Linked DNA regions of Drosophila melanogaster. The gene in region 4 interacts genetically with the main gene of each other region. Each region holds a gene or a part of one and is shown on either strand. Other genes may lie near its edges. The genes, in order: tsr, ssh, bs and Pax.

Region 1 (7,261 bases), on a different chromosome or scaffold from region 4:
GCTTGAATTCCTTCACAGGCGGTTTCTTGGCCGCATTATCGTTAATATTGTTGTTGGACATGTACAGCTCGCATTGCTGCACTATTTTATCCAATTTTCGAATTTCGCTCAGTTCCACGCAAGATTTGTGGGACATTTTTAAGTCTGCAAAGTATAGAAACGAAAAAGTGTTGCAAATTATAATCAAACATTCGCAAAGCTCAGAATATCCGGATTCGTAAGCAAATTCAAATAAATCTTCGCTTAAAAACAACTTAATAATAAATCCAAAATTTCCACTTACTCCAGATTGAAATTGGCGAAAACTGCGATTTCTTACCTAATGCACTTTCTTATTTACTTGCAAATCAAAACAGAACAGGTATGACATGCACGCGGAGAAATCAGGAGTGGAAAATCATTTTCAATCAATTAAAAACACTTCAATTCGATCTTGTTCGTTACACATACTCTACTTTTTAAATATCATAGATAAAATAAAAAAATGAATAGATGTATGTAAATACATGGCATTTTCATTTCGAAGTCAACTGCTTTATAAGACCAACTTTTTTTTCCCGGTGTAATCAGGCTTTGCTTTTCTGAAATTTTCAGACATGCGTACTGCTTTCGGTTTTCAAAGATTCGAAACCACCGTGATTTTCGAACCATTGTTATTTTCCTTCTCGCATTCGGTCACACTATTTTCAAACGTAAACAATTGATTTTTCCTGCTAAACAAAAGTGGTTGAAAATGTCGGGAATCGCTGCCAAAAAGATTGCCGAAGCGGAGGACCTGGTGAAGCAGGCCGAGAAGAGGTATCCCCAACAAAAATATCCTTATAAAGGGGTTTCCAAATAACACCCATCTTTATTTGCAGCTTGAAGTTGTCCATGCTGAAATGGGTTCCTGATTACGATAGTGCTGCGGATGAGTATTCCAAAGCTGGTGAGTTTCACAAAGTAGGAGTGACTAATATCACCCAGAGTATCTATCTATAAAAACATTGTGACATCAATGAGATATGTAAATACTATGAATTACAGCTAACGATTATCCCAAAGTATCCATAACTTGCAAGATACACACATATTGGTGTACAATTATGTATCTTTCTTTTACATTTTTAATTGCAGCCACTGCATATCGAATAGCTAAAAGTTATGATAAGAGCAAGGAGTGTTTTCTGAAGGCAATCGACGCCTATAAAAACAACAAGTCTTGGTTCCATGCTGCAAAGGCATACGAACAGGTGAGCTTAAATTGAAGTTAATATAAGTGAAGTTAATAGGAAATTTAAACCCTCTAAATGTGCACATCTTCTAGATCATTTTGCTGTCAAAGGATGCCGATAAGCTACACGAAGTTGAGGAATACGCCAACAAATCGGCGAGTTTGTATCAACAGCACGGTTCCCCAGAGGCAGCCGCATCCGCCTTGGATAAAGCCGCCAAGTTAACTGAATCCAAGCATCCTGACATGGCTTTGCGCTTCTATCAGCATGCTCTAGAAGTCATAATGGTTCGTCCTATTTGACACTGCTCTAGTCAATTCCATTCTTAAACTATTAATTTTATACTTACCCGACAGATCGAGGATTCCGTCCGTCAAGCAGCCGAGTATGCATCAAAAGTTTCCAGGATACTGGTCAAACTAAGGAGGTATGTACCTATGATTGCAACGAATCACTTTGGGTATCCTTAGCTTATATCATCCAATCACTCCAGGTACGACGAAGCCACGAATGCGCTCAAAAAGGAGATCAGCTTGAATCAGCAAACGGAATCTTACGGACAAATTGGACGCCTAGTTGTGGCCTTGGTGATGGTCCAACTGGCTCGCGGGGATTCCGTGGAAGCCGAAAAGACCTTCAGGGAGTGGGGAAACTGCTGCGAGCCAGAGGAAGTGTCCACACTGCAGACCCTTCTGCAAGCCTTCGATGACGAGGATCCCGAGTTAGCTGCTAGGATGCTGGCATCCCCATTCATACGACATATGGATGTTGAGTACGCTATTCTATCTAAAAACATTCCACTACCTCAGGGTATACAGATGGAGAAGAAGGCTGGCGACACTGCTGCTGTGAGTATTTTTATTCTAAAAATGGAATTTGCAATTTTTGTTTTGTAAATTTGGCTCTTATTATGATGTTATCGATAGGCGATTGAATCTGCCTTTGTTGTCGATAGAAGACTTGGGACAGTGCGAAGCAGTAAACTAAATAGCTAACAAGAATTTCGTATTTTCTCTCTTTCTCTCTCGCAGGAAACCAACGACGCCGAGGACGAAGGTGGCTTGTGCTAAATTTCTTAATGTTCGGTCTGCTTGTTAGTCAAAATATATTTATCGTTAATAATATCGCTTTTAACATATTATATTAACTGTTAAATACAAATTTCATCGCAATCGTTGTACTAATTAATAAATACTAAGATCAATACTATACAACAAAGAATATCATTAGCTTTGGGATGAATTGATATTGAAGTAATAAATTGTAGCTATAAGTGTAAACTATGTATATATATTCTATGTTCCAAAACAGCGAATGTGTTAAGATTCAAATCTGTAAATCTTCAGCTTTATTACACGAAAGTATAGTGCAATTTGTTAATATAAATAAATAAATTAACTCAAACTATACTATGTATTTTAAAGCACCCTAAAATATTTGACATTTTGAAAGATCGAAAGTGTGCCATTTCACCGTTCCAAACGCTTCACAAACGTCGCGACGCGTCACGACGCATGTTGATACTTTGCCGGCGCCTGGCAACCCTAACCTGTGCGAAATAACCGACCAAATTGATTCGTCCGGTTGTTCGTGAAAGAAGGCGGAAGGTTAAACAGTATTTGTAAAATATATACTCGGCGAAGCAGCAATTTGAGAATTGTGAAAGCGAAAAACTACAGGAAAAATGGTACGTACACTTGGGACTCGCATTCAGACTCGGTGGTAAAAGCGGCCGGTCATTGTGCACTTTTGGAAGCGAGGTGGAGTGCAAATAATGTCTTCGATTCGATGAATCATATAAGCATCTCTCCTTTGAAATCTGTATATACATACATATTTAGATAAGTGTGTATATATCAATCATACATATATTTCCACTTTTTTTTGCCTATATGTTCGTTGGCCATATTCGGGCATATACATGGTCATGAATGTGTGCGTATACATATATACCAAATTAGTCATTGGTAGCAGCGGATATTACTCATTTATTGGAGTGTTTCATACTTCTCAGCCGCCACTCACACTCATAACTGGCAAATTCGCGAAAGGCAATCGCGAAAGAATGCTCCAAAGTGGCAGCTGGAAAAATGGAGCGATTAAAAATTGAAATGTTGGAAAGAGAAATGCACACACATTGGATTTTCATGTCTATACATATATATATTTTTACACACTTGAGCGTGTGTGGGTATACCGCTTTTTTTATATTTCGATGGCTATAAATATGTGCGTATGTATGTATCTGCGGGGCAATGCTTAATGCTTATTTTCTCGCAGACGCAAAATGTGTGTACATATGTACGTCCATATTACCATACAGAAATATGTATCAATATATATCCATATATGTATCTGCAGGCATACATATTTAAGGTGTGATCGTTTCCTTGCCGCCTTGCGGATGTTCATACATACATACACATGATGTTTAGCTGTGTGTGTGCAGCAGACGACTGTTTGCATGTGGGACGATTTTGATTTTCTCGACATTTTCCGAATATTATGGAAAATCGGGCATTTTCCACCGTTTTGTGAGCGCAACGAAATCGTGGGGAAACAGCCACCTCCCTTTTAGTTTTCTTTCTCCCTCTTGTCGGCTTGTTCTCACCCTTAAACTTGCCGGCACTTGTGAACTTACCCTTGAACTTTCCGAGCGCCGGGAAAAAAAGAAAGGAAAATCTAACTGTAAATGGTGCCACGCCCACCACTCCCAGATAAATCGGCGTGCCAAGTGTGCGCACGCCTTAACCGGTAAAAGTTCTGCGGTGGCAATGCAAATAAAGTAGCATAAATTATTTACCTTTATGTTTGTTATTGCCGGCAATCAAAGAAATAAAATTGCAAAGTCGAAAAGGGACGGATATACTGTCAGCTGAAGGTGGGCAGTTATGTCTGCCAGTCAGTTACATACGCACATATGTACATCAGTGAGGTACAGGGTGCCTCGTGTCTTATGTGGGCATAAAACATTGAACTTCACTTATTTTTTTTTACAATTCAACTACTTGGTACTTCATGAACATTTGTTTTAAGGGAATACTTGGGGAAACGCAAAGAGAGCACCCTGTATCACATACATGCACACACACTTGGTTGACAGTTTGGCGCGCATTGAACATTCAAAATACATTCTCTGATTTGCATCTCTACCTTCTCTCTCTCTAAAGGCTTCTGGTGTAACTGTGTCTGATGTCTGCAAGACTACATACGAGGAAATAAAGAAGGACAAAAAGCATCGCTATGTCATCTTTTACATTCGCGATGAAAAGCAGATTGATGTGGAGACTGTGGCAGATCGCAACGCCGAGTACGACCAGTTTCTAGAAGATATCCAGAAATGCGGACCTGGAGAGTGCCGGTAAGTTCCGCCGGTTAGAGACACCCAGACCCATCGAAACTAACCTAATTTAACATCTATTCGCTTGCACAGGTACGGACTGTTCGATTTCGAGTACATGCACCAGTGTCAAGGCACCTCTGAGAGTTCAAAGAAGCAAAAGCTGTTCCTTATGTCGTGGTGTCCCGATACTGCCAAGGTATGTGAATAGCCAGTTGCCAAGTAATGGCGCAGAACTCATTTCGATATCACACACCCACAGGTCAAGAAGAAGATGTTGTACTCCAGCTCCTTCGATGCTCTCAAGAAGTCGCTCGTGGGCGTCCAAAAGTATATACAAGCCACTGATCTTTCCGAAGCCTCCCGGGAAGCCGTCGAGGAGAAACTCCGGGCCACCGACCGCCAATAAACTGTACGAGCACTGTGCATTGCATTTAACAAACAAGGCATGCATGAAACAGCGATGGAAACACGTATCCTGTTGAGATCGCCAATTTGTATGAGAATTTTCTACATAATTTGTATTTTCAGTAGAAATAAAGAATGAAATATTTAACTTGACCAAGTCGCGTTTCCGCTGTGGTAAAAATCTCGTACCGCAGAATACACTTTATTATAAGGAGCAAAGATTACATTGTACATATGATGACGGTTCTAACTTATAGACCGAACGCTTAATAGCCATGCTGGATCACTAGAGTCTGGAGAACCTTTCTAATCTGGTGGCCAGTGTTCAGGCACGACTTCAAGCCCAGCGAGAAGGCCACCGTTAGGATGTCGATTGCGTGTTCCTGCAGCAGCACCGACATCTCCGGCAGATTGTCAATGGCCGTCGCTGCCACCGAGGAGTTCTCGTCCCGCAGGCACTGAATGTAGGCGTTAAGGGTGCACAGGTTGATGTCCGAATTGCCGGGATTGTGCTTCAGATGCCTGATCAGTATGATGAAGGCGATGGACCGGATCTGGGCACTCGGCGAGAATATAAGGTTGAGCAGTCGTTCGAACAGCTCGTTGATGAACACAAATCTCTTGGAAGTGAGGCACTCCAGCTCCTGCATGGGACCCAAGACCACGTCCTCCGTGTTGGACTGCTTTATGATCTTGACCAGATCGAGGAAGTGCGGCGATATGTCCGTGTAGTTCGACCGGCTGTACGAGCCCAAGGTTAGAACCGATAAGGGACCCCTACTGCTGCTTGGATCGATGGGTGTTTGCGGATTCACTTCGATGGGATCCTCTGTTACCACGGGCTTGCTGGCCGATGGCTTTACATCGAAATGCTCATCCAGATCGTACTCGTACTTAACTTCCTCGTCGTCCAATTCCGTCGCCGAGTGCGACTTGTGCTGCAGCAGGGCAACGGCCTGGACCAAAACCTGCAGTTTGCCTAGTGAGGTGTACTTGGCTGCAAGTTCCTTCAGGATGCCCACGTACTGTTCGATGAAGAGCAGAGCACTTGAGGGATTGTAGTTGATGTAGGCTTGGAGCATCTGCACAAACTTGTTCAGCATTTGGCAGGCCTCTTTTACGTTGCTGTGGTGCTTGAAGAAGTTGAAGTAGCACGACAGCGTGTTTTGGATCTCGTTCTTGTACGCCTCCTCAAAGATGGTTGGTTGCAGCAGCTCCAGCGTCCTCAGGATCTGTACAAATCGGTGGAAGTGGTGCTCCTCGCGCAGGGCCTTCATGCTGAGCTGGGCCCGACCTTGCATAATGGACGACAGCACGCCCAGCTGGCGAAGGAAGAGAAGCGGGTGGGAGGCAGCCAGCTTGCGAAGGAGCAGCTCGGTGTCCGTGGACAGGGTTTCAAAGTCCTTTTTGCCCACCAGACTGCCCAAGCAGGTGATCAGATTGTTGGACACCTTGTCCGCCTGGCAGCCCTTCAGATTCTGCAATTTGTACGCCTGCTCGCCGGTTTTGCCCGGTTTCAGAAACTTGATGCGCGGATACATGATGTACATCTGCTGGAGGACCTGCAGTTTCAAGTAGTCGGACACCGAACTTTTCTCCACGTGCTCCATTACCTTGACCATGAGGTCTCGTCGCTTCTCTGTGAGCTTAAACAGTAGGTTCATTCGCGAGCAGAGCTTGAAATCATAGTTTTTGCTGTCCAGCTTGACCTCGGAAAGCCCTTCGTGAAGGATGAAGTGGGAGAACGGCTCCAGTTCAGAAGTCCTCAGCATGAAGAAGGCATCCGGCCGTACGTTCTTCGACATGTACTTGTCGCGTCCCTTCCACAGCTTCGGATTGGTGGTCAGTGCCTCGAAGTAGTTGAGGACGGTGGCGTAGTCGTAGTCTTCATGGAAATTCTTGAACAGGTACTCGGCAATCCTTTCGATCGTGTCCCAGTTGGTTTGGTGGTTGATCAGGGACAACAGATAGAACCTAAACTCGCTGCAGGACTTTGAGAACAGAAAGCGCTCCTTCATTAGCTGAGTGGAAACTATCTCGGGATCCATTTCGGACAGCCAGTCGATGAAGAGCCCGTTGTGGAAGAGCTGGTCGCTCTTGGACTTGGCGACGGTCTTGCTGTCCTTGGTCTGATCGAAGCTTTGGACGATCGCCCGGACGATCCGTTTTCGTGCCACCAAGGCGGTATTCGCCTTAAACTGCTGCGCATAAATCTCGCGAGAGTTTCTCAGCATGAACACCAAGCTCTCATGATAGAGTTCGGATTTCTGCAGCAGACTGGAGTCGGCGAATGTGTGCT
Region 2 (7,850 bases), on a different chromosome or scaffold from region 4:
ATTGCTGGCCAGTGGCTAGCATCGCACGGTGTGCACTTGGCCTCCGGATCACCACCGAGATTCCGATTACGTTACGGTCGCGAGTCCGCCGCGAGTTCACTGCGAATTTCGTGTCGTTTTGCTTCTAATTTTCCTGCAGAAAATAAAGAAACTGTAGTGGAAGTTCAGTGCGCGTCTGTGTGCGTGTGTGTTCTGTGTGTGTGTGCTGGCGCATCTGCAGGTGTGTGAGTGTCAGTGTTACCAGGTGGTTGGTTGCGTTTCCTCCTACACATATCGATGGGCGATAGGCAACGATAATCTGCGATCTGAAAAAATCTTTTTCAAACACTGTGCCGTTAGAAAGCTTAAACAATATTTAGAAATATGATTATTATTTTCAAATCGATAAGGATTTTGTTAAACAATATTTAGAAATATGATTATTATTTTCAAATCGATAAGGATTTTGTTAAAAAAAAAACTTTTTAGAACCCATATATTTTTTCCTTCCATACACACCTTGCTATATCTACATTTAACTTTAAAATCCCCAAACTACATCAAATTACATTTATATTAAATAGTAATTGTTAATTTCTTTGTAATTATACAATATGTGAAAATAATTCATATCTCCGGTCACTATTAAATTATGTGTGTACCCAAAGGTGACTCATGGCCAACAGTAAAACAGATTGCGCTCGAAATTGGATTACACATTTTTATTTATAAATATGTGGTCTGATAAATGGCAAAAAATACAAGTGTTCAAGGTGGGAACTTTTGGGCCGCGGCCTCGGCAGTCGGTGCTCCATGTGCCGGATCACTTCTTGTACTCCGCCCAAGAGTAGCGGAAGGAGCGGATCATGTGGATAAGGCTGCAAATACAAATCTGGTAAAAACGGAGGGCAGTGTTTGTTGGGCAACACATGGGAGTTGTGGTGTGAATGGCACATGGACGGCACAGGGACACTCACAAGACAAGACGATGACGTATATACAATAAATCGTTTATTCGTAGGCAGTTCTTGCATAATATAAAATAAATATGTATACAGTTACAAGTAATTTAAAAGTACAAATACAGTTTCATTTCCATAGGTTGTTTTGTTTGCCCTCTCTTGTCATCTTAATAGTTCCATTCACACATTGCAGACACAAGATCTTTAGAAGCTTTCATGGACGCCTTACACAACAAGACAACAAACACGAGGCATGATGGAGGGGATGGATGGGGTGGTGGTGTTCGATTGTTGGACAAAAAACACAAAATGGTCGAAAGCGGGCGAGTATATAAATAAGTAAAGCAGGCGATAGGATGAGGACGATCCTTAGTGGCTACAGGGTATGGATTGCAAGTTGCAAGTGGTATGTGAATGTTGCAGTTTGCAGTTAGCATGTTGTTAAGCAGAGCATGGCCTTTACATGGTGTTGTAGGCGGCGGTGTTAAAGCCTGTTTTCGGAGCACTTAGCCTGCTCAGCGGATGCGTCTTCCCGTGCTGCGCCAACCGCCGGATCTGCACCTGCTGCTGATGCTGCTCCGGTTGCAGTTGTTGCTGCTGCTGTTGCTGGTGCTGAACGTTGCTGCTGTGACTGACGCGGACGGGCGCGGGTGGCGGTCGACTGTCGCTATAGTCATGCGTGGATCTGTTGGACAGCGAGCGGTCGTAGTAGGAGAGCGGGCGTTGCTTGAAGCTAGTAGTGGTAGTGGTGCTGCAGGAGTGGCTGATGTTGCTGGCGGTTCCGGCGGGTGGCAGTGGGGCACAGGCGACTGTGGGGGTGGCGGCCGCCTGGCTACTGCAGGAAGTAGTGGTTTGATATTTATGCACTAGACCTTTTACATTACGATCACAATTTTCGCTTACGCTGGAATCGGACGAGTTGGAGGCGGAGGAGTTGGAGTTGGAGGCGGCGGACACGTGGTTGGCATGCTGCGCCACCGGCGACGATGGCAGTGATTGGTGGCTAGTCGTCTTCTTGCCGGGATTCGCTGAGCAGGCTCCGGCCACCGCCGATACCGACGTTGCGATTGTTGAACTACTGCCCGATCCCGCTGCAGTGCCACCGCCTCCTCCTCCTCCTGTGCCCACCACTCCCGCTTTGGCTTCGAAATTTTGCTTGAGTATTTGCACATTGCCCGAGATGCGCTGATCGTCGGCCAGCGTTTGTCCCTGGACGCGCAGCACTACCGTCGCCTCATGGTCGCCTGGCGTGGTGTTCTTGTTCTCGATGTCGCTGGTGTGCATCAGCTCCTCACTATTACAGCGTAGTGGCTGACGCTGCCGCGGACTGTGCGCCGAGGAGGCGCTCCTATAGAGGCTTGGGCACCGCCTCTGCCCAGCATCCACAGCCTCGAGTAGCAGCTCCTGGCTTTCTTCCTGGCAGCGCTTTTTCAGCGAGGTGCTCTCTTCCAGCTTCTGCTTGGTGCGCTTTACGGTGCCCTCGCCAACTCCAACTATCGGTTCCACAGCAACGGCGACTCCTTCGATTACATTGCAATTGGAACTGCGCTTGAGGTCTTGGATAACGCCCTCGAAGATGGCCGTAGTGTTGCGATTGGAGTCATAGTAGGAGCCGGAACTGGTCCTCTGCGGCAGACAGCATCGGTTGTCTCCTGATCCCCAACTTGCGTGCCGCGAAGGCAGCTCCCGCTGACGTGTGCCTCGGGGACGCAGAATGGCGTTTGACTGCTGCTTCTGTTGCTGTGGCGTGGGGTCCAGGACGATGCCGCCACTTGGACCCAAGGACTCTGTCCAGGAGTGCGTCTTTCGACGCTGGCGCTTCTCCCCTTCATCCTTGGCAAAAACACTGTCCACCTGCGAGGAGAATACATCCGAACAGCTAGAATCCCGCCGCGAGTCAATATTTCCACTACTGCTGCCACTGACACTTTTTCCCAAGTGAGAGGTCTGTGTAATCAGTTTTGTCAGCGAGGTCCAGACAGGTTGCTGTGGCAGCTGGTCCGCCCGGTGCGCCTCGAGATCGTGAATTCGTGTGCGCACTGACAGAGGCGTGTGTTTCTGGATGTGCAGCACCTGGTTCTGGGTGACGCTGTAGTTCTCGCCGTTGCTGCCTGGGAAGCGCATATTTTTTGGCTCCTCGGCCACGCTACGTTCCGGCGTAAGGTTCTCCATAGACTGGCTTTGCTGCTTGGTAACCACAGCCGTCTGGGTTTTGGGTGATGTGCTGCTCGAGCGCCTAACCATGCGACGCTGTGACTTCTGGGCGATGGATCGCCGGTGCATGCGTGAACCATCCTCCTCTTCGCCATCGGGTGTTACGCCCGCTTCACCAGTCGACTTCGACTTGGCCTGGTTTAGAGCCTGAATGAGGGGCGTTGGTTCGCTACCAGGCAACAGTCGCGCGTCCTTTGTGCTCTTCAAGTTCGTCTCGCTCTTGCTGCGCTGCAGCTTCTCCTTGTTCTTCATGGCGTCCAACATCCCACTATACGTCTCCAGCTGATTGAGGAAGTTCTTGTTGGGCTTTATACAGCTGCGCCTCTTCTTCACGTGCTCTAGCGCCTGCTGGAACTCCCACTGGTAAGCCTTCATGGCATATGCGATGACAACCGAGGCGGATCGGCTGACGCCCATCTTGCAGTGCACCAGCACCTTGGATCCCTCGGCTTTCGCCCGCGTGATGTAGCGGAACGTATCGTCCCAGTACTTGAGCAGGTTCGTCTTCTCATCGTCGTACACGCGAACGTTGAAATACTCGAAGGTGCCCGGAAAGAAGTTATCGATCTCCCGCGTCACGTTCAGGATGTGGCGAACGCTGAAAATGAAAATAAGTTGTCGCTGATTTTAGCCAATTTTCCCAGGATATCAATAGTGTGGCCTTTTTTTTCTCTTAAACATACCCGTTTTTCTGCAGCTCCTCCAAGTTGCTGGCATTCCACTCTGATCCCAGATAGACGTGCTCGAAAATCTTGGTGGGGGCATCCATTTGGCCTAGAATAACGAGCATTTCGGCGTCGATAAACGACTTGTACTCGCCCAAATCCATGTCCAGGATCTCCTCGAGGCGTCCGCGTATATACTTGGAGGTGACCTCGTCCAGGTCCACTGACATCATGATGGCCTTCAGCTTCATCTTAATGACACTTTCGGTTTCCTCCTTTTCGGGGGGTCTGTTTATGGCATTCAAGGGAAAGAGGAATTAAAACCGTAAATAATTAGTTGTACCGAACCCTTACTTGTTTCGTATGGCATCAGGCGAAGGTGGTCGGCGGCTCTCGAGCGCGTCCATGGCATTCCACTCGTTCAGACAAGACTGGTCCGACTCGATGCGCCTCTCGTAGCTGGATAGCCAGTCGTGGGAGGGTCCACTGGCATAGAAGTTGTTCTCACGAGCCTTTTTCGACACTTTGTGCAGCGTCTGCAGCGCGGACCTGGAAAGAAACAAGGGTTTAATTTGTGACTGAAGGGGATCTGACTCCAAAGGAGGCACCTACCACATGGCCTGCACTGAGACCGGCTTAAATATATGCGTTTTTTCGTACACTTTGACGCTGAATCCGCTGAAAGCAAGATAAGATAAACCATTGAAATTAAGGAAATGCACATCACACGTTTATCAGAACAAATACACTCTGCCATGCTATTATTAAAATAGCTTAAGATAAATTGGAAACAAATGTGCGACATAAATGCCACCGCTCAACTAGGAAATTGGTCAAGGCGACACCGATTTGTGTATAGATTAGGGGCGGCTAATTTTTAAATTAATTCTATAAATAATTCCCAAGGTTAATAGCGACAATTAGGCAGTTATGAGTGCATGACTCTTACGAGATGAATGCCCAGTCTTACCCATCGCCATCCAGGTGAATTGTGGTGTCCGCCAGGATGGGCACCACCAGGCCAATGGTGGTCCGCTCGTTGCAGTCTATGCCCAGCAGGCAGGACTCCTCCATGCCCGAGGTATTCTTGTTGTCGCCGGCCGCCGTTGCGTTTTCCTTGTCTGCTGTTTTATCACATTTGCTGCTGGCCTCTGTGGCGGTCTGCTCAACGGACAGCTGACGCTGCGTGGGGACCGCCGGGGAGGTGGACGACTTTGTTCCCGCGGATCCACCAACTTTTACCGAGTGGTGACGCATGATCCGGTGGCGCCGACGGTCGCTGGTGCCGCTCCGACAACAACTACGCGATGCAATCACCAGATAGCGCGTGCGGTTGGACCGCTGTGACTCCAACTTGACAGCCTTTTGATAGGAATAGAAAGATATGTTTAAAAGATAGACAAAGTAATTTTACATTGGATACGCACCATCTTTAGCGTGTCCTCGCGCTGCAACAGGTAAAACATTGATTGCAGGTGGAGCTGGATGTCCGAGTTGTTGCTTTGCGTACTGTTACTGGAGCGGGTGGAGTCGGTGCTCAGGCGACGCTCGCTTTGCGTCAGGGGCGGGATATCCTTAAGAGCCAGTACCAGGGCGGTTCCCTTGCCGGCAAAGAAGCACTCGCTGCGATCGTTTCCTTTGCTATTGCCCTCGTCGTCCTCGGACTCGCCATCCTGATGTTATAGAGAAAGGAAAGTTGTTTACTCGGTGTTTAAGAATACCTTATCCTGCTGCACCTCACCCGTGGGGTTAGGCTAAATATAAGGATGTCGTCTGGCAAAGAACAAACTTGCATGCTCATTATTTTGCAAAGGGGTAAGATAAACTCCTGATTATAGTCTACACTTCAAGGGCGGAAAAGAAGCAAAGCTGTATCTGCAGTTCCAAGAAATCTGATTGTTCAACTGAATACCGTCTGATTTTGAGAAAAGGGTCACAAGTTCGAAAAAGATTCCGGTTTAGTGAAGTATTTTTTTTTTTTTTATATTTTCTGATTTCTTAGAAATAATAAAATGTTAATTTATGTGTTCAAAAATACCGATTTGACATATTGAGCATATCTGAATTAAAACGTTTTGTAAAATTAAATTGATCAACCCCCGATATTAATTTTTCCCTCTGTGCAGGCGGACGTCAAGGTCTCGCGAACTATTTTTGGGCGGTGGGGCGGCGAAGAAAACAAAAACAAGCGGTAAGCGGAAAGCGACAAAAACGACAAATAAGGCAATGCAAAAGTCTGTTGAAAAATATAGACGTCGCGACGTCTGCGGATTTGCTTGGGTTACACCAAAAGCAGCGCAGCGCAGCACAGCCGATGACGATGATGACGCTGCCTCATACCGCCCACACGCGAACGTTGAACGTCGAAATCCAAAAAGCGTAAGCAACAAGCTGGCGGATGATAAACATTGGGCATGAAAAGCACATCCGAGCACACAAAGGATCATGGCCAAAAGCGGAACACGCACTAAAGAGCCTGCCCGTAATTGGCTCTCCTGGCAGAGTGGGGGTGACCAAAACAAAGCACACACGCATACGCACACGCGAAAACCATCAAGTCTCCTCTCACCGAATTCGAGCAGGAGCCCGCCACACTGGGAGAGCGCTGCACCGTCACCAGCGCCATTTGTTGTTGCCGTGGTCGTGGACGTCGTCGTCGTCGCCGCAGCCGCTCCTCCACCTCCTGCTCCTCCTCCCCCGCCGACGCCTCTTGACCCTCGTGTTCCACCTGGCGCAGATGATGGCGATGCTGCAGCGGTGTCCCTTGCAATCCTCTCCTGCTTCGGCTCCTTCTGCTCCACCTCCTTTTCCCTGTGTGTGAGTGTGCGCGAGAGTGTGTGGTGTGTGTGCAAGTGTTGTGGGCTAAGGCTACAAATGCATTTTCATATCGCTGCCTGCTGGCCGTTGTTTTTGCAGTCGGCTCCGCGACCTCGTCCTGCGATCGTCTTGGTTTCCGCTTTCCGGACACTCTAGCCAGGCGGTTCTCTCTAAGAAACAGCGTGTCCTTACAATTAACGGACACACACAACGCTGCTAAATGGTAAATAGACTACACGAATTTTTCTTAAAAGAAAGACAGTGAGGACGCCATTTCTAATCGATAACACTAGTATCGTCAGGCAATCGTTCTGGCAGGGCTGGCTAACTATCGCAAGCGAAAGCAATGTTCGTGTGGTACACCGAAAAAAGTACTTATTAATGAGAAACGCAGTGATGTTTGTATACTTCTTGATATATCAGTAAAACAGGCTTTAATACATTTTTATGTACTCTTGCCTTTTTGATGATTAAAAATCAAAAAATTAAGTTACATTAAGTTATCATTTATCGAATAACAAGTCAAAGGTAGTCAGAGGTGGTAGCCACTGCACAGCTGTTTAGTGTTGGAAAATAACAACAAGCCGAACAGATGATTGTGAAAATCAGCTGGCCCAAGAACAACATAACAAGCGAATGCTTCCGGCGGTTTGGATCTTTTAAAAGACGCTCAAAATCGAAGAAAATGTCAGCATTCATCGAGGAAACAAAAAGCCTGCTGCCGCGGATCGCCTTCATAGCCTGCGGATGCTTCAGTCCACCCACACCCATGCACCTTCGGATGTTCGGTGAGTTAAACTAGATTGTGAAATTCTGCGGTACATAATCGATAAAATTACGCGGCATGTTTTTGTCAACAGAGATAGCCAAGGACCACTTCGAAATGCAGGGAACCCACAGAGTGGTAGGTGGCATCATCTCGCCCACGCACGACTCATATGGCAAAAAGGGTCTGGCCTCCGCCTTGGACAGATGTGCCATGGTCAAGCTGGCCACCCAGAGCTCCAATTGGATTCGGTTGTCCGATTGGGAGGTGCACCAGAATCAGTGGATGCGCACGCAGGCGGTGCTCCAGCACCACCAGAACTATATCAATAACCACATAAATTCCGGCGGGGGAGGCGGAGATGACGGGGAGAACACACATCTACCCGGATGGCTGCCTCGTGGGTTGCACGACAGTCGGGATCCTGTACATCTGAAGCTACTGTGC
Region 3 (7,610 bases), on a different chromosome or scaffold from region 4:
AACGGTACTTGCACTTCGGCCCAAAAGAAAACCAATGCCCAGAACTGAGAACTGAGAACAGAGAACTGAGAAGCGAAATCGTAAGGCCAAAACCCCCAGCTTTTCCTTTTGTTTTCGCCCAGGGAGCCGCAATTTTATTTAAATTGTAACACAAGCGACCAGACAATTGCCCCGAAGTCTCGCAGAGCTCGATCCTGATTTCGATTCCGATCCCGATCCCGATTCTCAACCCAATCCAATCCCTACTCCCTGCTCCTTATGCGTTATTCATGAGGCAAAAACATTGCGATCGCCTGTACCAATTGCCAATTGGTTCGACTTTTGAGCTGGCGTTGGCGGTTTTCTCTGCCGGCTTTGTCAATCTCAGGCTTTTGGCTTAGTGCGCTGGAGCAGGAGCAGGAGTTGCAGTTGGACCTGGCTTGGTTAAGTGGTTCATTGTCACCCCAGCGCCCAATTAGACACCTGAGTTTCTTGGCCACTCGCTTTCCGGCGATCATACACCGCAGTCATGTGCTCATGTGCCACGTTCTTGCATTCAATCAGATATATTCCGATTGGCCGATCTCGGGCCCATCTGTATAAGGAGTGTGTGTGCTCGGTGGTTTGAGTGTGTAAATCAACCAGCTTGCTGCGCAGATAATAGATATTCTATTTTGAATAATACCTGGGGAGTCGCTTGTACTGTTTTCGTTTTTTTTTTGCTATCTTAATTGCATCCAATTCTACTATCACCAGTCGTACCAATGACTTGCCATCCGAATCTCGTGCTTTACTTGAAATCCTAACACAATATTTCGCAGATACTTTCCCGCATGACCATACTGAAAAAGACAAAAAAAAAGGAAATTTACATATTTCGACTATTTAAAACACTTTGGCTTTGGCTTAAGGCAAATGCCCAAGTAGCGCTATAAATAGTAAAAAAGTCTATATATATAAATATACACATATGTGGCTATGGCTATGGCTAGCTGCAAAATCAAAAGTTGTTCGGAATCGTAAATGGAACAAACGCTCCTCTCGAGTTATAAATATATTTGGGAATATACCTATGCCATCCGTATGCCTAGATGATCTGTCCACCGTTTTGAAGGTGAACTCTGCAGGATTACATAATGCGGACTCTGAGCAGCAGCATCAGGAGCAGCCCCCTAATTCCCCTCGTCCCCTCTCAAATAAATGCACGTAAAACGGCAAGCAAATAATTAAGTATTAGAAATGTTCAGCTGGGGAGAATTCCGCGGAAAGTGCGATGGCAAAAACTACAGCATGTTGCAGTTGTTCCCAGCTGGCCAGAAGCCTCCAAGAGAAGCCAAGAGTTCTCCTCCAGACAGGCTGACGATTGCCTAGAAAGACAGCCGCACTGGAGCCAGCGGACTCCTACTGCCGGTGGAGGAGAAAACGGCGGAGAAAGAGGGCCTGGATGGCTGCAGACGCTGAAGAGCCCAGCCTGCAGCCAACTAACCAATTAGTAAGCGCTGCACAGAACGCGTCTACAATTGTGAGAACCTCAGACCAGGCTTGCAGGCCAACAAGTCAACAAGCCAAGAAGCCAACAGCCAGCAGGCCGTGTGAGTATGATGAAATGTCAGCAGGACCAGAAGCTGCATCGAAATGCACTCGGAGAAATACTTAGCAAACAACTAAAACCAAATTACACAATAAAAAAGTGTCACAGAGCTAGAGATGCATATGTCATATGACCCATCTGTAAACCTAATCCATATAAAATACGGAATTATTAGGAATGCGTGGGGATCATCAAACTTCATCTTTATTTATTGTTCTTTCTTTTCGCAGTCTTGGGGAAATGGGAATACAAGTGGAAGGCATCATTCAGATTCAAGTGACCCAAGTGGCATCCGTTTTCCCGTAGTGTCCAGAAGACCTGGTGCCCGCTGCGTGGATCGATCCTTATATGATCCGCTGGCAGCGGCAAACGTTCTATTTTGACAGTCATTATGATTAATTTAAATCATTAGGCAGCCCGGGCAGGTAGACAAACCATCGAGCTCCTATATTCCATCTAATTAAATGCGAGAGGAGCGGAGCTGCAGTTGGCTGTGGTCCTGGTCCTGGTGCTTGATCGGAGTCGACCTCGGAGTCGGAGTCGTGGAGCTGGACACGGGACCTGGACTGGCTTATTCGCGGAAGAGACAAGCTGGCGACAACGACACCGATGGCTGGAAAAGGCAACGATGACCATTTGCAGCTGGGGAATGCATCATCTTCGATCGCGGATCGGGGCGCAGTGAGTGTATCGATTTATCTGCGCTTACTATATACATATCTGCTGCTATCTGCTAGTCGCTGCACGTGGCCATGCCCACTCCGCCCCTTTGCCCATTCCGCGAACCTCTATTTAAGGACATGGCGAAATACTCGTGCTCCTGTGTACAAGTGGGCCCACCACGCAAATCCTCTAGAGCATTCTGACCATATTGGCGGGGCTAAGAAATTCCTGGCATAGTTTAAGTGTATCGCTTTTTGTTGCTGCGCCCGGGCACTCAAGATGCCCGCAAAGCTCAGCCTGCGAAATGTCGCAAAAGAAATTACAAAATCAGCAATAAGAAAATCAGAAAATCACAAAATCAGAAGATCACAAATTAACTAAATTAACAGCGCTGATAAGGCGAAACGCCACGTATGTAATTACCGAACTCAACCACGAGTTTTCAAGGGGAGGAGCCAATGAGCCACCCAGCCATATGAATCCCAAATCCACGATCTATGTGTGCGCATGCGCAGCGAATGGGTATGCATATGGGGGCGTGGCCATCTAATTAATTAAGCCATAAAGCCAGCAAAATGAACGACGGCAGCAGGAAGACGCCGAACGGGGGTGGGGATTGGGTCGGGGAATGGGGGATTGGGGTTTGTTTTTATGTACTCCGTACTCTTCGCGTTCGAAATCGAAGAGAGCGCGGCGCTCTTAGGAAAAGAGGAAACCGGTTCGCCCAAGTTTGGAATATCGAGCGAACATCGTTGGTGGAAATACGCTGAAGTTTATTAGGTATTTGCACGCCATCTGAAGAACAACGAACGCCAGCTATCGATCGCAAGTTTAGCCCGTCGAATCGTTTCGAATTCGTATTTGGAATGAACCACAATAAAATCGCCACAAATAAAGTAAACAGTCCAAACAAGTGCCTAGCGACAAATAAGCAAACCAACTGCAACGCATACGGAACAAACAAAAACACAAATATTTCCCATAACTGCACTAAATCTACGAAGTCGAAACAAAGTTAGGCGTATTTTTTTTACCAGAAACACTTAAACAATTTTTACAAAAAACGGATATTAATGCAATCAGTTCGAGACAAGCAGACAGCAAGCGGAAGACTTAAGGAGATAACAACTTATAGAGGCCATAATCAAAGGAATAAAGCACCATCAGCCAGCGATGAGAAGGAACGTCTTCAATGATAAACCTTCGAAAACTTTTAGAAAATAGCAAACATCCCAATAAACCACAACAATTATAAAACGCGAGAAAGGATTTGGTAAATCATCTAAAACCAGTTCAACAAACAACACATATAGTAAACATTAAATATTAAATCACAAGTTTTAGAAGGCAAACAAAGATAAAAACTCTTAACACCAGTTAAATAAAATATACTAAAAGAACTGCAACCAAAAAATAACATACAATTAAATGAAATTAAAAGCCATAAAGAAACTTAAAGCCATTGGAAACAAGCCATAAAAGCGGTCCAGAACCTAAATATTAAACACAAACCAAAATTCAAATTCCGCGCCAAACGACCACACTGCGCAACACACGAGCGCTGCATCCCTGGACTTCAGCCGCATTCCAACACTGCAGGACTGTCAGCTGTCAGTTTTCCTGTGTGTGTGCGCGCGTAAGTGTGTGCGTGCACTTAAGAAACTTAAATTCGCGTTCTTGGCCAAAAAAAACCCGGGTTTTTAATAAGTTATAGCGTTTTCCTCGACTGAGAACTTGGCCCCCAGGCAGACGGGCACAAAAACCGCCCCAGAAACGCGCCCGCCGCCGCCAAAAAGGCCGAAAACGCCAGCGAAACGCGCGCGTTGAGTGTTTTCTGTGTGGTTTTATTTTTGGAATATAAAGCGATCTGATCTGAAAAGTGTGCCGCGGCCGGATTCTAGATATTCAGATTCCCAGCACCCGAAACCCAAACGCAATAATAGACGCGCGCGGTGCCTTGGATCTCTACGGCTCCACGGTGGAGAACTTTTACCTCAGAATGGATCCGACGCGAGGTGACTCGCGGTACAATCTCAACTACTCGATGAGTAGCATAGGGCTGAGCCTGGCGGATCCGGCGGACATGTACGGCAACCCGGCCCTGGGGGCGGGCCGCCCGCCCTCCGGTGGCCTGCTCCAGAACATGGGCGGCGTTCCGCCGATGCAGCGCCCCAATCCCGCGGCAGGAGCACCCCCTGCCCCGCAGTGCCAAACGCTCCACAGCCCACAGCACGCCTCCCAGCAGCAGCAGCAGCAACAACAGCAGCAGCAGCAACACCAGCAGCAGCAACAACAGCAGCAGCAGCATCCCCAGCAGCAACGCGGCCTTAAGCGCTCCGGCAGCGACTGCTACGAGGATCACCACCGCTCGTCCGGCGGACTCACCCTCCAAGGACTGGACAACGTGGCCAGCGGAGCCGTCGACGACAGCGTAGACAACTACAACCCGCTGCCCAACAAGAAGTCTCCGCCTGCCAACGGCAAAAAGACAAAGGGACGTGTCAAAATCAAAATGGAATACATCGACAATAAGCTGCGTCGCTACACGACCTTCTCCAAGCGCAAGACGGGCATAATGAAGAAGGTAAGATCGCTGGAGCACCCCTACGCCATCCCCATCCCCAACGATATTTTCAACCCAACCCCGAAACCGAAATCGATCCCCATCCCAATCCCCATTCCAGCCACGATTGGCGCTGCAATTGGGATGTTGACATCGGGCCACGTTTCCAGCGCATGTGCAATTAATAAATGCTTCAGGGATTCAGTTGCGACGGAATCCAGCAGTTCCCCCACATCTCTGGCATTGTTCTGCCTCCGGAAAGAGCGAGGATTTATTGTCAATTGGCCATCGGCACAGTGGTCGGGATAGCTGGCGCACAATAGGAGAACCATCTCGGAATATCAAGTACCCAATGGATATATCCAACAGTTAGACCATTTGTGTACATTACTCGTCAGTTCAAATATTCAAATCTTTCTCTTGTGTCCATTACCAATTATTAGTTCCACTTGGAAGTATGTTTATTGGACCAATACAAATTCTGCTTGGAAATTGCTTATAGGCCACCTTATGTTGGGATCCCAAACCTAATGCTAAACAATTTGATTTAAGACTCAAAAACCCGAACCACTGTGCCCGCGAAGTACCTCTGCTCATCTCTAGAACAGTAGCCGCAGATCCTCTGCTTTTGGCCAGATCGCGTCTGTTTGGCCAACTGTTGGCCGCTTTGGCGGCGTTGTGTAAGCGCGGTAGCCCACGATTCCGCGTTGCCTTTGTTTTCGGCTTCATAAAATGTTAATTTGCCGCCGCAATTGCATTCAAAGGAGGCTCCTGCCCACGGAGCACTCCTCCCCCGAAACAATTGATGCGTGCTCCTTGTGGATGGTGGCCCACAAGTCGCTGCAACTGGCAACGTTGCCTTGGCATTTTCAAATGACCAATTTTCACACGCAAACTTACATAATGCCACTGCATTAGCTCCTGCTGCTTTCCATCGATCTGGGGGCCGTATATGAAATTTTTCACATTTCTGAAATAGACTTCCCTGGCCACTAGCTGAACCAAGCCCCGATCAAAATCAGACAAAAAGCATCAACATCGCGGCGCTAAATCACGATCTCAGCACGATCTTTGCCCAAGACACAAAATCTTATGAAATATTTGACCCAAGCAGACCAAAAACAAAGACGTTGGAGCACTTAAATTTAAAAGGGGAGATTTGGGAAAACGTTTAGCTTGTTGTACGCTAGAATGGCAATAAAATGTCAAGTATAAACTAAATGTTTAATAAGTTTAATTTATTTACTGAAGTTTATTTACTTTCATTATTAAGTCGCAAAGTAACTTATGATTCTTGAATTAGAGGAAGTGAGCAACCCAAACCTGTTAAACTGTTCCTCTTTACCCAATCTCAGTTGATCCCGAAATGGTGTTTCCTTATCGGTGAGGGTATCCAAAACATTTGACCCCTGGGACGTGGATTCTCGGGGCCGAGCTTATGACAGGCGCACGCCCGGGACAAAAGGCCGCTTCCATAATATGCGTTCCAAAAAAATATCGTTTTGGTGACTTTGATGCGGTCCCTCATCGATGTCCAGCCGGCGGACAGTTGACAGGCAGACAATGGGATTTTGACTTGGCGCTACCAGCGGTAGCAGCAAAAAGCGCAGAGGCAATCTGCAATCCGCCATCCCAATCCCAATTCGAATCCCTAGCAGCCAACCAACAAATTGCGGCCAATGAACTTGGCCCAGAGAGTTGTCGCGCCAACCTGCTGGCATGCTTTCCACTGGCCAATTTTGGTCATTTCGATCTGGCCGAGAGCCGGGGCTCTTTTGGCGTGGGTGGCGGTGGTCAAAAGGCCAAAAAAGGCGACGAGAGTGAAAAGTGAGCTAATGTCCAGAAGTGATCTCATTTGCTGGCCAGCCTAATTGCGTGGGCCGCATCATCGATGGATTCGCAGCTTTCGCTTCTGGCTTCTGCATAATGCACGGCCATCGAACAAGAAGCCATCGACAAGTTCCCAACAATTGGCCATGGCTAAAAGGGCAGCCGGGCGCAAAATGCCGCCAAAAGGTGTTAAATTGAAATCACGAGGCCTGGGATTGGGATTGGGGATTGGGGATTGGGCTTGGGAATTGTTTGTTTCGGGGCCAGCTTGCAGCACGGAAGCTTAGGCCGCAGCCTCGTCGGCAGATTGTGCCCAGATAAGACCCAGAAAGCCGGGCCAAGAGGCTCCACGTCGGCTCGCCTTTTGGCCACATGCAACAGGCTGTGGCCTCTGCCACATACGGGGAAAACAGGCAACAATCGGCTTCTAACAAATGACTCTCCATCTGGACGGAGCGGTCGCGGTCTCTGGGGCTGCCTTCTTGTCCTGTCAACGCGCTCGTACCCCAATCCTCGCCCGAATCCGAGTCGTGTCCTTTTGTCTTTGTTCGAAATTCAAATTGACATGAATTGTTGGCCTGCTCGCGGTGCCCAAGTAGCCTTCCTTCCTAGCCGCACAATCGACACCTACTCAGAACCAGCATCTGAATCAGAATCCGAATGCGATTTCGAATCGGAATCAGAACGAGAATAATCGGAATCCGATTCAGATTCCGCTTTCGGACCGTGTCAATTGTTTGCATTTACACATGTTACACATAAAATTGGCAGCCAATCGATGTCTGGCAGGGATGGGGTAGCCCAATCCAATCCGATCCTATCCGATACGATACGATGCGGTGCGATGCGATCCCCGGTATCCAATACCCAATACCCAATCCCCATCGCAATTCAGCCAACAATGTGTACAACAATTTCATTAATATTAATAAATGTTCTCGAAGCGTTTGCTTCTCGGTCGGTCGGCCAGTTATTTATGCGCTG
Region 4 (7,400 bases):
CTAACGCACACAGGGCGGAAAAACAACAACACCATCGCCATGGACGATTTGGGTAAGTAAGTGGTGGTCCACTTTTCCTCGGGGAAAAGCGACTTCCTCAAGCGGAGCATTCCACAGCATAAACCGTGTGACGTAGGCAAAAGCCGCAAAGATAATTCTGCGACTTCAAGGTCAGTCGCTAATTGGAGTTAATTAACATGTAGCTGAGGATTCTGCCGTTGGCCGCCAGGTGGCGACACAGGAAGTCGAAAATCTCACGCTTGAATAATTTTCGTTTACAGTGAAGAGTGGCTAAAACGTACCTCACGTGTTGAATGGCAACGTGTGTTCTGTGTATCTTTTTAGTTATTAATCTGTTATTCACTTCTGTTTTAAGAAATTGTTATTATGTAAAAAAGTTTTGAGTGATCTTCAGTCATTGACCGAACAAGATGTGTTATTTGTTTAATATATTTCCCAATATACAAAAATATTTATTATTGAATATTTCTTGAAACTCAATATTTACTGTTTTTCGAAATTCTTATCGTAAGCATACAATCATTAATCACGATTAAAAATGGTTGTGTTACGTGCTTTAAAATTCTTGATGATGAATTTCAAGTGCTCGTCTTATCTTTGAACCCGTTCATATGTACATGGGTCCATACATACATATGTACATACATACATACTTATGTACATACATACATATGTGCAAAGTGCACAAGTAAATGAATGAGCTTTTAATTCGGGAAGTGGCTATTGCGATAGCTGTGGTCCGATTCGCGCATTCCTTGCACTTTTATGAATAATCCTAATTCCTTGAATCGAACATAAAAGCATCGCGCTCAGCACTTCCAGTGTGAAATCATTTACAATTCTAGAAAGCAAGGAGGGTGTGGTTTCTTGCAGCCCCAAGTTCGAAACCCTTGTACTCATGTGAATGATCTGGTCTGAGAGAGGCAGCTTAATCAGCCGGGCTGTATTTGCTTTCTTCGCTGCCCCACAGTGCTCTTTTAGTCTCCATCAGCGAAATAAAAGTCTACATGTCGTCTCACTTTATTTTCTTTATGACACAATTCTTCGCTGTTTCGGAATGTCTTTTGATAAAAATATAAAAGTGAAGCAAAACGAAATCTGCAGCCGAGAGTTGTGTGTCCAGAAATTCTTAAGAAATGACTAAAGGCCAGGCCACTAACACTTATGAAGAATTCCAGCTGACTTGCCCTACACCTACGCACAGTGGTCTAAGAGCCCGCTAAAATTTGCTTATCGGCTGGGCTTGTAGGATTCTAGATCTTAAGAAACTTTCATATAGAGCTTTTGCAAAATCATGTTAAATAACAAATAATATTTCAGATCACTTTTTAGATTACAATAATATAATAATAACTATAATACTGAAATTCGTTCGAGATCTTAAAATCTCAGCATAAATATTCTGCCCTCGAAGCTTTACTTCGCACAGGAAGTAGAGGCTTCAGCTTCATCTCCAACTTCATCTTGATCTTCTCCAGCAACTCAGTTGCATCAATCTTGCTTTGCTGCCATTAGTGAGTGCGCGCCCACTTCATCGCCCACTCGACACGCAATGTCTTCTGTTCGTGTTGCGTGTGCGCACTGTAACAGCAAAGACGAGATGATCTGTCGAGATCGGTTAGGTCTGTCTGGGCATTGAGCGTCGATGGCGTTTTCCGCCGAGGGGAGCACTCCAACTGCAGAGCAATGATCGCTTATGGTTACGGGGAAAGGTTCGCACAGTGGGACGAAAGGTTAAAGAGTTTTTGAGATCCCATTTCTGCCTTTTCTGTGATCGTATCAATGTATATCACAGTGTTCATGGTCATGAAAGTATATAATTAGTTATCTTCTATGTTTGTCGATAAACAATTGTAAAGCCTAAGCAGCTGTTAAGTGATAAGCATTTCCAACATGACTGTCCCAGAGGAATTTTGTTTATACCAATTTTCACTGTCATTTTATGAAACATTTAATCTTGCGGATTGTCTGTACAATTGAAGATAGTTTCAGAAATGTTTTGATATTGGATGCCTTTGACTCACGTTTTCGTTTATTCGTCAGCAACGAAGGGGTTGGTTTTCTTGGCAGCTGGCCCACTGTTCACACACCCAAAGGAAAGCTCCAATCGGGCGACAATATTTTCGTCCGCTCTGGTTTCCTTTCGCTGTGCCTCCCACTTGCGGTCGAAATGCTCAGCCGCAGGCCGCAAGCCAAAATGAAAAGCCACTCCAAGTGAAAAGCTACGTGGTGGGGCTCTTTCTCTCTTTTAACTGGCTCTCTTGGCACTGAAAATAAAATACGACAATATGGACTCTGATTTAAAATACATTTTTTTTAAATTCGATTTTTCAAAATTAGTTTACTACTTGTTTACTAGTTTATTAGTTGTTTACTCAGAAACAACAATAATCATAATACTGGTTTCACAAGCTGTAACCGCTGATACATACTTTTTAAACATTCCTTTAGATATATATTACTTTAGATATAGCCCCTATTACGAAGCTAAGCTATCGTTTTGAATATACTATGCCTATCCATACATCCATACATCTATAAATCTAAGAAGATTTTTTCGCAGTGCAGTTTGTTTACCAGCTCTCAAACGCTTCGCTCTCTTGCTCCCCCGCTCTCCGTGAGCAGCTGCGAGAGAGCCGGAGCGCTCGTCTATTGGAGCCTCAGCATCGGGCCCCCCTTTGGATTTCAGTCGATTGCGACGCTTTTACTGAATCGCGAGCGCAGCGCGTGTGTTTTTCGGAGTCTCTCGATTGCGGTCTCCCAACGGCGTCCTACGATCTCTGGGATTAATATATAGAATATGTGACAACACACTGCCAAAGGTGCAGGCAAAAGTGCACAGATAACGCGATAGAATATACATATAAGAAACCAAGCCTAATCAAAACAAAAGGCAACGAAAAAGTGTTTAACGGCAAACTACGGCGGGAAAAAGTTGATGAAAATCAGTGGAATCGTGTTAGTGGCAGGTTGGAGCGTGGGAAATTGTTTACTTCGAGTGCAAGAACAGTTTGCAGTAAAAAAAAAAGTTGACAAACATCAAAAGATATCTAGCACTAAGATAAACGATAAAGCAGGAATGCCAGAAGCAGTTAGCTAAAAAAAATAATATAATATAATAAACTGGCCAAGATTTATGGATCCGTGTCACTCGCCTTAAGATTCCACTAACTCTTGGCAAATCTTTTCGGCGCGTTGCTCGCAAAACATTTCAATTTCATTAGCATTTCCACTAATTATGGAACTAATTATCAACGGACAAGACATTCGAATATATGACATATTTGCCCAGATCTGGCAGAGCATAGAATTTTGGTTAGCCCCATTAATTTTCGCCTCGGGGCCCCGAACGGATTAAGATCGTGGGTGTGTTGAGATGGAAATTAATTCGGTATTTCTGTGTTTTTCTGGAGGGAAATGACCGAAATAGCCAAACAAACATAACAACAGGCAGCAAAAGCAATTAAATTGTGCCCACTTAATCTATTAAAATTATGACATTTTTCACATATTTCAAGCAATCGAAGCCAAGTGCATTCTCACGAGTGGTGGTGGTAGTGCGATGGGGGGGGGGGGGACTTCCTTCCCCTTCCCCTCGTAAAAGTATCTCGAGTTACGACAGCAGATGGAAATGCTGGAGAATGATGTAAACTCGGCTGACATAGTGCGCACAAATGAATATTTTGTTGTTGGGGGGTTCTGCACTTACGAGAATCGCTTTCGTTTTCTCCCCAATATTTTGTATCTCGCAGATACGTTCAGTGGATGCCATTTGTTTACGACCAGACAGCTGCTGTCTTTGTCTCTCCGATTGTCTGTGCGTTTTGAAACCTCTAACTAAGTATCTACAGATCACTCTGGATCTCTGGATTATTTGGGTTTAAAAGCTCGTTTTAAGCCCCAACTACTTAGCACCTCTGGATTCTCCATCATCGTAATTCATAGTGCAGTGAGTTCATCGCCAGGTTTGAGTTCGATTTTCGTTTGCTCAGCGAGTTGCTCTGTGTTTTGTTGTTGTTGTTCCTTGTTTCTGTTCTTTCAACTGGAAACAAGATTCTTATCGCCCAGCCATACAAATTCAATTAGAGTGTGTTGTTTCGATTGCTAGCGAAAGATGAGTGGCTTCGATAGATTTCGAAATCGTTAATTGTTAGCAGCGAGTTGATGTGCAATTAAAACATTGGGTTAGATTCATTGCTCACAAATATTTTGAAATAAATAAGTGCAATACTATTGAATTGTTTGCAATCGACAAATATAACCAATTAAGCTTCCATTGAGCCAATCAAAAGACATTGATATTTAATTCCAGAAAAGCCTTTTATCTGCTCAGTACGTAGGCCATTGGCCAATATAGGGTCTATATATCTTATCAAGACCCCAAAGGCCCCAAAAGTCAGTGGGCGATAGCTCGTCGCTTTTTCCCGAACCTATTACAGAAGTGGAATGTGAAAAGCACGCACAGTTTACAGCGGCATAAATTGGCCAAGTTTATTGAAAGGCCCGGCTAAAGGCCACTGAGCGGTGAAGAGAGATCGGTATCACCCACACAAATGAATTTCCCTGGGCTGATACCCACTTTTCCGTTTGGCCACGCATTGCGTTTTCACCTTAGCGCCTTCGGCAAGGTCAACACTCGCATTCACACACATTTTATCTACTTACTAATAAAATATTTATATTGAGATCGCTAGGAATTTCCTGCAAAATAAACACGAAATTGTGCCTTTGACTTTTGAATTTGACTTCGTAGAAGGAAGACCGAATCGAGAACAACAATTTCGGCCCGACGTCATTCCCAAATGGACTGAGTAATGCCTCAGGTGTGGAGGTAAATGGATTTGGACTTGACTATAGCCAAGACCTGGAAGGAAAGTGAGATTTTTATTTTCTTATTGCCCTTCCTTTTGGCAACGATCTGCGGAAATCTCTCGTATTTTCAATTAATTTCGCTCGATTTTCCCAGTTTAGCCTCCCTTTGTTAGACGACGAAACGTCGCCTTTGATTTGCTAGAAATGTTTTTTTTTTTTGTTTTTTTATTTTTCTTTTGGATATTTTTAGTTGGCGATCATTGGTGTTGACGTAATTTGGCAACCTTGATTCCCCGTTCCCTTCTCGATACTCGTATTTTTGGCCCGGCTCGCTTTGTGTTCGGTCGGTGAATTTATGTTTATTATTTTTTACCTTTTTCCAATGTGTCGTTATTTGTTTGGAACGAAAATCTAAAATGTGGCCTGCATGTTCATTTTGGTATTTTTATGCTTCCATAAATCTGTCTTTATAGACCGTTTGTTGGCTCAACTAAATCTACAGGCCATCGTAAATTGAGTTAGTTGCATAGATCATCTATTGAGATTCACCCACGCACATTGGGATTAGGAAGTCAGAGTAACTGGTCCGGACTTTTTGGTCTGATTTATCGCTCTTGTTGGTGTTTTTATGGATCTTTAGATACGGTTAGATTGATTTGCATCTTCAGTGATTACGCTATAAAGAACCATTTTTGACTTCTCTATCTTTTTGATCTTTAGATACGGAAGATTAAGGTGCATCTTAAGTAGAGTAATCACTTCAGATGAAGATCATTTGACTTGTTTGACAGTGGACTTTCATTGACTTAACTAAATATCTTTGTTTCGAGTATTGATTTAGGTAATTTATTTCTTAGGTTTGAAGCATGATGAACTGATGAACTGACAGACAATGTTTACATTACCAGTAGATTTATTTCTCGTCTTTTTGAGAGCTCTTCATCATATATGCAGCTTAGATCATAGATCTCTCACCTCACCACATCCCTTTAATCTTTTAATGCGGTATTTTGTCAGTCTCAGTCAATTAATAGAGGAAATTCGAATGCACAAAGCACTCTCCAGACAACAATTTCCAACATTAAATCACTTGGACTTCCACGGGGGCAGGGAACTAGTTTCTTTCAATTTTTTGTTTCTTCTTTTTTTTGTGGACTGGGGCAAAGCTCTGATAGACGGGCGAAGACAACGACAACTTCGACGACGACAACTACAATATCCACTCTCTGACAGGCTAACCCAACGCAAACAAAAACGACAAATCCGTCGTCGAGAGCCCCGAAAGGCCAAAAATAAAAATGCGCTTATAAATAATTCAAATAAAACATTTTGCCGGTGGCGCAGTGCAACATCGTCAGCCAAACCTGCAGACCTGTTTGGGGAACATAAAATGTCACTTAACATATTCTCGATTAATCATTAACGTTTCAATCAAATCAGTGCGAAAAGCAAGTGAATCTCGTTCGACACCATGGATAGAACAATGTACGGAAAGATCGATCCGGGTGCTAGGCAACCATATCGTACGGCTCGCAGCAAGGGTATCCTGCCAGGATGTAAGTATATATCATTGGTTCCACCAATACTTCCCATGCAATATTTAAAGATGTAATGGTTTCCGGTAAAAGTGTGTACCATAATATAAGTTCAACCGATTAGTATTTGCTAGCTAAGAAAAATTGCAGCTTTATAATTTTAACCATTTAGAAAACAAGTTGTTTTGATGGAAGTCCAGAGTTTGATCCTAGTTAAGCTGGCAAATGAAGGCGACGGAGCTATAGCATGGGAGGTCGTTCATCTGGAAGGAGGTTGTCGACAACCACAGCTCGACACATCGATCGTAGCCACTGCTGTTGTCCGGCTCTCCGGCGGACCAGTTAAGAAACGGAGCCTCTAGACCAGTGGCCTCCGACACGTATACGCCCCGTTCGCCGAGGTCATTGATGGATAGCCAATAGCTGTAGGCTGGGTGAAGGTGGGGGCTAAGGAGCTCCAGTTCCTCTCTGCTCTCCAAATTGAGAAGAAATCCGCCATTCTGACGACAGTGGTTGCTTGCCTCGAACCAGTTGGTCTTTGCCAACGAAATGTAGTACTGCTTTTCACCGATCTCTAGGTTATCTAACAAGAATCATTGGTTTATATTGCAGTGTAACGACTTTAAAGGCATCTGCATATAGCTTATACGAAATCTAACCTTACCAATATTAGTTATTTTCATAATAACTTCAAGTAATAACTTCAGTACTTACATCGGTTACCCAAGGGAGATGACTCCAAAGGAAGAGCACTCCAGCATACCAGGAACAGCAGGAGAAGTTTGACCATCATTCCTCGAGCTTCAGTTTGCAACTGACTAAGAGTTTGGAAATTGCTTGTTCAGATAGCCATGGCTGATAGCGTTGTTGACTGATAGTTTAAGACTTTTATAGCACTGACAATATGTGACATAGTAGAGCAATAAATATATATATATTGACACATACTCTACTTCCAAACAACAATAGATACAGTTTCCTGCTTTGGAGCCTCACAAATGTACTTAAACAAGCTACTCGCGTGGTTGTGGC

What was found.
Region 1: of Pax (region 4) and tsr, changing one suppresses a phenotype caused by changing the other (phenotypic suppression), as found in Drosophila melanogaster (one study listed by BioGRID).
Region 2: of Pax (region 4) and ssh, changing one suppresses a phenotype caused by changing the other (phenotypic suppression), as found in Drosophila melanogaster (one study listed by BioGRID).
Region 3: of Pax (region 4) and bs, changing one suppresses a phenotype caused by changing the other (phenotypic suppression), as found in Drosophila melanogaster (one study listed by BioGRID).

The regions. Positions count from the first base shown.
Region 1 is NT_033778.4:24,042,306-24,049,566, reverse strand, and holds tsr (twinstar), read left to right. Parts: upstream 1-2,761; 5' UTR 2,762-2,898; coding exon 2,899-2,901; intron 2,902-4,384; coding exon 4,385-4,575; intron 4,576-4,647; coding exon 4,648-4,753; intron 4,754-4,816; coding exon 4,817-4,963; 3' UTR 4,964-5,114; downstream 5,115-7,261. Other genes in the region: sei (seizure), read right to left, coding at 1-136; gammaSnap1 (gamma soluble NSF attachment protein 1), read left to right, coding at 734-798, 861-928, 1,117-1,232, 1,307-1,501, 1,571-1,641, 1,708-2,062, 2,246-2,284; IntS1 (integrator 1), read right to left, coding at 5,229-7,261. UniProt on the Drosophila melanogaster protein: Exhibits F-actin depolymerizing activity and regulates actin cytoskeleton dynamics. Required for cytokinesis in both mitotic and meiotic cells and for aster migration and separation. Promotes cell motility during ovary development and oogenesis.
Region 2 is NT_033777.3:24,938,029-24,945,878, forward strand, and holds ssh (slingshot), read right to left. Parts: upstream 5,868-7,850; 5' UTR 5,622-5,867; coding exon 5,562-5,621; intron 5,494-5,561; coding exon 5,248-5,493; intron 5,183-5,247; coding exon 4,791-5,182; intron 4,499-4,790; coding exon 4,433-4,498; intron 4,370-4,432; coding exon 4,175-4,369; intron 4,109-4,174; coding exon 3,839-4,108; intron 3,754-3,838; coding exon 1,401-3,753; 3' UTR 975-1,400; downstream 1-974. Other genes in the region: Nmnat (nicotinamide mononucleotide adenylyltransferase), read left to right, coding at 7,230-7,425, 7,498-7,850. UniProt on the Drosophila melanogaster protein: Protein phosphatase which regulates actin filament dynamics. Dephosphorylates and activates the actin binding/depolymerizing factor tsr/cofilin, which subsequently binds to actin filaments and stimulates their disassembly. Required for axon growth.
Region 3 is NT_033778.4:24,339,858-24,347,467, forward strand, and holds the start of bs (blistered), read left to right. Parts: upstream 1-3,003; 5' UTR 3,004-4,232; coding exon 4,233-4,817; intron 4,818-7,610. UniProt on the Drosophila melanogaster protein: Required for the formation of intervein tissue of the wing. Acts in a dosage-dependent manner to suppress wing vein formation and promote development of intervein cells. Might play a role in the proper formation and maintenance of the trachea.
Region 4 is NT_033779.5:19,418,858-19,426,257, reverse strand, and holds the start of Pax (paxillin), read left to right. Parts: upstream 1-2,705; 5' UTR 2,706-2,843; exon of another isoform or gene 2,844-2,979; intron 2,980-6,066; 5' UTR 6,067-6,304; coding exon 6,305-6,389; intron 6,390-6,490; exon of another isoform or gene 6,491-6,577; coding exon of another isoform or gene 6,578-6,951; intron 6,952-7,082; coding exon of another isoform or gene 7,083-7,161; exon of another isoform or gene 7,162-7,183; intron 7,184-7,228; exon of another isoform or gene 7,229-7,317; coding exon of another isoform or gene 7,318-7,400. Other genes in the region: lectin-37Db, read right to left, coding at 6,578-6,951, 7,083-7,161; lectin-37Da, read right to left, coding at 7,318-7,400.